Canis lupus familiaris: one gene and its partner. The main gene of each other region encodes a partner of the protein of the gene in region 2 in a complex. Links are inferred from orthologs where the notes say so. Each region holds a gene or a part of one and is shown on either strand. Other genes may lie near its edges.

Evidence for each region.
Region 1: the proteins of AP1M1 (region 2) and AP1S1 are in contact, whole or in part, in a crystal structure (PDB 1W63), measured with the Mus musculus proteins. The link is inferred for Canis lupus familiaris from reciprocal best matches to the Homo sapiens genes AP1M1 and AP1S1. Residues at the interface, in NP_031482.1 of Mus musculus: Lys12, Glu31, Asn186, Asn188, Val189, Leu190, Glu232, Glu234, Asn270, His272, Arg421; in NP_031483.1 of Mus musculus: Lys26, Lys30, Arg33, Glu34, Gln37, Lys43, Glu51, Trp52, Arg53, Asp54.

What each region holds. Positions count from the first base shown.
Region 1 is NC_049227.1:8,623,197-8,627,375, reverse strand, and holds the start of AP1S1 (AP-1 complex subunit sigma-1A), read left to right. Parts: upstream 1-1,365; 5' UTR 1,366-1,521; coding exon 1,522-1,524; intron 1,525-3,260; coding exon 3,261-3,439; intron 3,440-4,090; coding exon 4,091-4,179. UniProt on the Homo sapiens protein: Subunit of clathrin-associated adaptor protein complex 1 that plays a role in protein sorting in the late-Golgi/trans-Golgi network (TGN) and/or endosomes.
Region 2 is NC_049241.1:46,687,739-46,691,356, reverse strand, and holds part of AP1M1 (AP-1 complex subunit mu-1), read left to right. Parts: intron 1-350; coding exon 351-498; intron 499-2,063; coding exon 2,064-2,099; intron 2,100-3,618. UniProt on the Homo sapiens protein: Subunit of clathrin-associated adaptor protein complex 1 that plays a role in protein sorting in the trans-Golgi network (TGN) and endosomes.

The DNA.
Region 1 (4,179 bases), on a different chromosome or scaffold from region 2:
TTACTTCCTTACCTACAACCTCCTCTCCCGTCCAGTAGCACATCTCTTTTCATCCCTTTTGCCTTCTGCCCCTTCTACAACACCTCCTTTCCTTCTTTTCACTCAGTAATGATTTATCCTTCCTAACTCCAACAGCGGGCTCTATCCATCTTATTCTTGACCTAAAAAAAGAAAAATACCAAGATAGTTCAGCCAACCTCTAAGTCACCGGCAAGCTGAAGGTATAGACAGAGGAGAAAGGAGACTGATGAAGAAAAAGAAAAAGTAGAAGTAAGAAGCTGAGAAAGGGAGAAAGTGAACAGCGATATCATCGAGTGTTGACTATCCAGGATACTTTCTATACATCCTCAAAACAGCCCTGCAAGGCAGATATGGCCATCCTCAGTTTTCTAATAAGGAAACTGAGAGCTAAATGACTCACCTGAGGCCAAGCATCTATTAAGGGTCAGAGGCCACACTGCATCCCAGGCAAATTAGGCCCCCTGTCTTGCAAGGATAGCATATTACTTCAATACTTAAGAAAGAAAAAAATACTATAAAATGGAGACAAGGTGAGGCCTTACCAACAATTGCTTCAAGTGCTACTCAAAAGCAATACCGTCATTTTCAACATGAAAAAATGGAAGATTTTCTCTTATCCCGACGTGCCAACCACTTTACTTGACCGCGAGGAAACACACACGCGCACAGGCGTGCGTGCTCACATGTGCACGAAAAGTCCATGTTGCAATTCACAGCCTCATTTTTACACTTGTGTCCAGGTGACACCTGTCTCTTTTCAGTTTCGACCGGTGCTACCACCGGAACATCTCAAAGAGACTCTTTTCGGCTCATGCGTGCTCCTCCCCACCTTTTCCTCGCATCACTTTCATGTCAGCCCCTCCTTTTCTTTTCTTTCCCATCTCCTTCATTACCTACACATTTCTCTGACTTCAGGCGAGTGCCGCATCTAGCAGGTTCTCGGTGCGTATCTATTTTGGACTCCATACTTAGGTCACGTCAGCCCCCCCCACCCCCCCATCACCACCACGCTTTGTCTAGTCTTCCTCAAGTCAGGGCTCCCTCCCCACATCCAGTTCCCACTCTGAGCCCTTTCCATCGCCCCCGCCCTCCATCAGTCCTCCCTACTGCCTCATAAACTCCAATGGTCGTCCCCTCCACCTCTCATTCCTTTTCCCGCCTTTTTCCCCCCAAGGTTCCGAAGCGCGAGGACCTCATTGTCCTCCTCCCCCATCCTCCAACCTGCCCACCAGACGGCCTTGTTACCATGACGACAGAGCTACTCAAAGCTGAAGTCGAGGACCTGGTTGCCATGGCTTCCGCTTCTCCGCCTCCAGCCCCGCCCGCGCGCCCCGCAGCGCTGGCGCCTGCGCAGTCCGCCCCTCCAAGGGCCTCCGAGCCGGGGCGGGATGGGGCGGGGCTTCAGGCAAGAGGGAGGGAAGGAGGAGAAAGGGTAAGAAAGGGAGTGGAGCTGGCGCGTACGGTGGCCGAAGAGGGTCGCGCCGAGCCGGAGGCTGCAGGATGGTAGGCTGTGCGGAGAGGGAGGGGAGGGGGAACCGAGGGGCGTGGGCTGCACCTGCGGGGGTCCTCGGGGGCCGCCCTCTCTTCCTACGGTCCTCGGAGGCCCCACGTACCCGGGCGGGGGGGCCAGCCGGCCTCGGAAGGAACAGCAGCTGGAAATGGCTTTAGGGAGAAGGGGCGGGGAGGAGGCGCGTTTGTGGGGCGAGAGGGGGCTGACTAGGGGCGGCGGGACCGTCCCGAGCCTGGCTGGGGGAGCGCGCGGGTGGCGGTCCGAGGGGTCCCGACCACTCACTCCCGCAGGGAGGTCCGCCCGAGGAAGAGGGGCGCCGGGGCCTGCCGGCGGCGGGGGGCGGCGGGTCACAAGACCCTCTGTTCGGGTGCAGCCCAGAGCAGAGGCTGTGTGGGAGGGGAGAGTTTCCGGGTCCGAGGAGTGGACGTCCTGCCTCGGTTTATCGCAGGTGGGAAAGCCAAATGGACGCGAGGTCTTGCTCTCCAGGACCCAGGCTTCGGATCCCCAGACCCCGTGCTCTTGGCTCTCCGTCCCCCACCCCATTCTCTTTCCGGAGCCCAGGCCTTCCGTCTTCCTGCTGGCTTCCCGCTTCCCCGCCCCCCAGTCTCAGACACGCAGGGCTCCCAAGCGCCCCTCTGCTGCCCTCCCGTCACGCTAGCAGCGTGTCCCCTTCCCCACCACCCCAAACCCTTGATTTCTGATCTAGCCTCCTAAGCAAGTACTGTGTCAAACACCCACGGATTCCAGCCGTGGTAATGTCCAGGGAGGAGCTAACTCCAGGATGTAGCCTGGACCCCCTGGAACTGAAAGCTGCGGGTGCACGGGGTAGTGACGGCTCCTCACTCCTCCCCACTCTACTCAGCGTGCACTTTGTTTCACAAAGCTTCGGGAACCACCCTGGGTGATGGTGTCCTTAACCAAGGAACTGAAAGGGAAATTGGTCACCTGGTATCTGAAGAGGAGTGGGGGCATAGCAAGAGGCACCCGAGAAGGAAAAAAAGAGAGGACTGTCAGTGGCCAGAGGCCTGGATGGTTGAGGAGAGGAGAGGGTGGAATCTACCCCTGGGCATATGACTAGCACTGGAGGGCAGTGTATTGGGGATATCCACAAGGGTGTATGGCCAGGATGGGGTGGAGAATTGAAGTAGCTTCTGGAGAGACAAAATCCTTCATTTCGGGATGGTGGTGGATAGAAGGACCACAGAAGAAAGCAGACATCTCTTTGACTTCATCTATGAGCTGCTTGTCACTGTGCTGGGCATTTGACTGACCTTTGGAAGGCAGAGGTAGGAAACAAGAGATGAAGGCATGATAATAGTGACACCTATTGTGTTCCAATGCTTACCATGTGACAGGCACAATTGCATATATCAACTCATTTAATCCCTCCAAACAGGTAGGTACTTATATTACATCCATTATACAGACCAGGAAACTGAGGCCCTGAGAGGTAAAATAATTGCCCAAGGCAAATTTCTCAACTCCTGGAGCCAGGAGGATTTGAACCCAAATGACAGACTCCAAAGCTCAGACATGCCCCCAGAAGTAAAGGCACCTGCTGGTGGGGATACTCAGAGTTGACCAGCAAGGGCTGATTTTTGAAGCCAGTGGGAGCTGTGAATGGACAGGGGTTAGCTGCACTTGTAGGACGCATGTATGACTGTGTTTATGGAGTAAACAAAACCAGGGAACAGAATCTCTGACCCTCAGCTCTGCCCCTGCCCCCTAGATGCGATTCATGCTGCTGTTCAGCCGGCAGGGAAAGCTGCGGCTGCAGAAATGGTACCTGGCCACATCAGACAAGGAGCGAAAGAAAATGGTCCGGGAGCTTATGCAGGTTGTTCTGGCTCGCAAGCCCAAGATGTGCAGCTTCCTGGAGTGGAGGGATCTCAAAGTCGTCTATAAGAGGTGATTTGCCGCCTACTTTCACAGCTATCTGGATCCTGCTTGGTGGGGGTCTGGCGGTGGTTCAAATGGCTGAGAAATAAGGTCAGGGAGAACAGGGAGCTAAGGACATCTGGAGGTCAGTGATGGACTCCAGCTTCCTTCAATTTCCAAACTTACCTTGAAGAAATTCTTTGTTTTGCTCCCCGTTTGTTTTGCTCATGCCTGACACCTACTTTACGCACATACCTCTGTCACCAAGGCCCTATCCTGTTCATCGTACGTGTCCCTTGCAGCCTCCCTCATTCGACAGTGATAGATCCTGCACCACCTTTCCCCAAACACACACACACGCACACGCACGCGCACACAGACACACCCTGTCCAGTTCCTTCTCTGAGCAGGTGGATTACTTGGCTCAGGTTTTTGCTGAGTCAAACTGAACAGGTCAGAGGGCAAAGGGAAAGAGCTTGTGTTAGCCTCCGTTTGTGAGAGTCACCAAGAGACGGAGTGAGTTGTTACTATTTGCATACCCTGGGGCCACCCCGCCTATGTCCAATGGACACCAGACCCTGCGCTGGGAATGAGGAATGGGAGGTTTGGGTGCAAGAAGCCTGGATCCTGAAGCAGATGCAGCAGCGCCTCCAGCTACCCCACGTGTGCCCCTGTCCTCAGATATGCCAGCCTCTACTTCTGCTGTGCCATTGAGGGCCAAGACAATGAGCTCATCACGCTGGAGCTGATCCACCGGTATGTGGAGCTCC
Region 2 (3,618 bases):
CACAGAGGGGCACTCAGAGAAGCCACATAACTGGCCCACATCTCACACCTGTTGTTCCCCAAGTGGTATTGGGGTCACCAGCTTCTCCCCCAAGGGTCAGTCCCCTCTGCACATCGAGCAGAAGAGCAAATTCAGGTCCCCTCCTTGCACCATCCCTCAAGTGAAAAATGAACACTCTATGCTCATTGTAACTCAAGTTTGTCAGGGCTTTATGGACACATTGTAAGATATTCTTGTATTAAACAGCTCAGGTGAAACCAGAGCCTGCCTTTTCTGGAACCTGCTCTAGGGAGGGAATGTTTTCAAAATGTCAGTGCCTGAACTCCTTAACTCTTGGCACGGTCCCACAGGTACATCACTCAGGAAGGCCACAAGCTGGAGACGGGGGCCCCGAGGCCCCCAGCCACTGTCACCAATGCAGTGTCCTGGCGGTCCGAGGGCATCAAGTACCGGAAGAATGAGGTGTTCTTGGATGTCATCGAGTCTGTCAACCTCTTGGTAGGCTTCCTTTCCTTCCTTTTCTTTCAGAAAAATTTTGTCTTTTCCATGGTTGAAATAAAAGCACTGGGACTTTTAAAACTAGCAAGGCGCTGAGAGACATTTACTTTCTTTATGACAGCAGATCAGCAGGGTTCAGCTTAGGCCACTCATGGCTGAGCCTCTTTTCTCTCCACTAGCTTGTGTTCCTGTTTAGAATCAATGCAGACACATCGTGGCTGTCACTCTTTAAAGCAGTGTGGAGAGTTAGCAGAGTGTTCCATTTTCAGAAAGACCACCTCATTTAAGATTTATTAGCATCCTTTTGGACCTCATTCTGTAAATTCACAAACATGCACTGTTCTTTCCATGAAGCCGAGAGCGTAGGATGTGGTTCTGCAACTTGTTTTATTATTGTTGTTTGACTGTGTATGTTTGCTTTTTCCTTTTATTTTTTAAATTTTCACTAATAAAATTGACCTTCTTTTCTGTTAATTTCTGCACATGTACAGATTTTTGTACCCCAGTGCCATAATCAGGAGCTACATCCCCTCTAAGCCCTCCCTACTGCCGCCCTCGGCAGTCTGACCCTTCCGCCTCTCCCCCCACTGCTGGCAGCCACCACTCCAGTCCCTGGCACTGCACAGTTTCTCTTCCCCAGTCAGCCATGGTCCTCAGTCAGAATGTCCTCCTCCTGACTATTGTCAGAGGGTCAGTGGCCACCTCACACTACATCACAAGGCTTATGTCATTCACCTCACTTTACGTTGTCATGTAGGCGCTTTGTCCTCTGACATCATCACAAGAACGGTGGGTAACAGTACAATCAGGTGTTTTGAGAGAGAAAGAAACTACATCCACTTACCTTTTATTATAGTATATTGTTCTAATTGTCCCATGTCACAATTAATTCATTGTGAATCTCTTACCGTGCCTGATTTATAAATTAAATTTTATAAATTAAAATTTATTAGAGATCTATATAGGAAAAAACATAGTATATATAGGATTTGGTACTGTCTGCAGTTTCAGGCATCCACTGGGGGTCTTGGAGCATATTTCCTGCAGATAAGGAGGACAACTCTAGAATGTTGTCTTTTTGAGATTGTCCTATGAATGGCATTGTACAGTATGTGGCCTATTGAGTCTGGCTTCTTCCTTTTTTTTTTTTTTTTTTTTTTTTTTAAGATTTTATTTATTTGTTCATGAGAGAGAGAGAGAGAGAGAGGCAGAGACACAGGCAAAGGGAGAAACAGGCTCCCTGCAAGGAGCCCAATGTGGGACTTGATCCCGGATCCCAGGATCACGCCCTGAGCCAAAGGCAGATGCTCAACCACTGAGCCACCCAGGCGTCCCTGGCTTCTTCCACTTAGCATAATGTCTTTGAGATAGATCCAAGTTACTACGTTTACCAGAAGTTTGTTTCTTCTTATATTTATTTTATATCCTGAAGCATACCTTGTTTACCCATTCAACCTATTGAAGGACTTTTGGGTTTTTTTCCAGTGTTGGGCAGTTGTGAATAGAGTTGCTATAAATGTTTCACATCCAGGTTTATGTGTAGACAGAAGTTTTCATTTCTCTAGGGAAAACACCCAGGAGTGGGATTGCTGGGTCATATGGTAAGTGTATGTTTAACTTTATAAGAAACTGCCAAATCGTTTTCCAGAGTGACTGCACCATCTTTGCCTTTTCATCAGCAGTGGATGAACATTCTGGTTGCTCCACATCCTTGATCGGTGTTTTAATTTTCGCCATCTTAATCAGTGTGTCGTGTTAGCTTATCATGGCTTTAATTTGTAATTTCCCTAATGGCTAATGATGTTAAACACCTCTTCATGTGCTTCCTTTGTCATCCACATATCATCTTCGGAGAAGTGTCTTTTCATGTCATTTGAGTATTTTTAAATTGGGTTGTTTGTTTTCTGATTGTTGCATTTTGAAAGTTCTTTATATATTCTGGATTATAAATCTCTCATCTGATATGTGATTTGCAGATGTCTTCTTCTAGTCTGTCACTTGTCTTTTCATTCTTTTGGTGCAGTATCTTTCACAGGACAAAAGTTTTTAACTTTGAGAAAGTCCAGTTACCGATTTTTTGATGTGTGCCTTTGGTGCCATGTCTGAGAACTCATCACCAAATCTAAGGTCATACAGGTTTTCTCCTGAATTTCTTCTAATAGTTTTGTAGTTTTACATTTAGATCCATGATCATTTTGAGTTAAGTTTTACATAAGGTACGAGGTTTATATGCATTTATTTTTGCATGTAGAACAGTGTTTTGCAGTTGTTCCAATATAATTTTTTGAAAAAACCATCCCATTCTCCATTAAATGCACTTGTATTTTTGTCAAAAAGCAATCGACCATATTCATGCAAGTCTATATCTGGCCTCAGATCTGTGTATCTGTTTATTTGCCAATACCACACTGTCTTGATAACTGTAACTTTATTACGTCTCCATCAGATTATGTGATTCTTCCAACATTCTTCTTTTTTGAAATTGTTGTAGCTATTTAGTCCCTTTGTATAAAATTGTAGAATCAACTTGTCTCTATCTACAAAAAGATCCTACTGGGATTTTAATTGTTATTTTATTAAATAACTGTATTAATCAGTATGGAAGAAAACTGTTATCTTTAGTATATTAAGCTTCACAATCCAAAAACGCTGTATGTGTCTTTTTCTCTCTAGGTAGGTCATCTTTGATTTCTGTCATCAACATTTGGTAGTTTTTACTACCTATACATTTTCTTTAGAGCTATACCTAAGTATTTCATTTTTTGAAGGTATCGTAAATTGTATATTTTTAATTTTATTTGGTAGAATTAATTTATTTGATAGTGAAACTATCTGAGTCTAGAAATTTCTTTTTCAGGTTTTTTTTTTTTAAGAGAGGGGAGGGGCAGAAGGAGAGGGAGAGAGAATCTTAAGTAGGCTCCACGCCCAGTGTGGGGCTCAATCTCACAACCTGAGATCATGACCTAGGCCAAAAGCAAGAGTCAGATGCTTAACCAACAGATACACCCAGGCATTCCTTTTTCAGCATATTTTTAACTACAAATTTCAATCCTCTTAACGGTTATACGATTCAGGTTTTTGGTTTCATCTTGGTTGAGTTTTGGTAGTTTATTTTTAAGA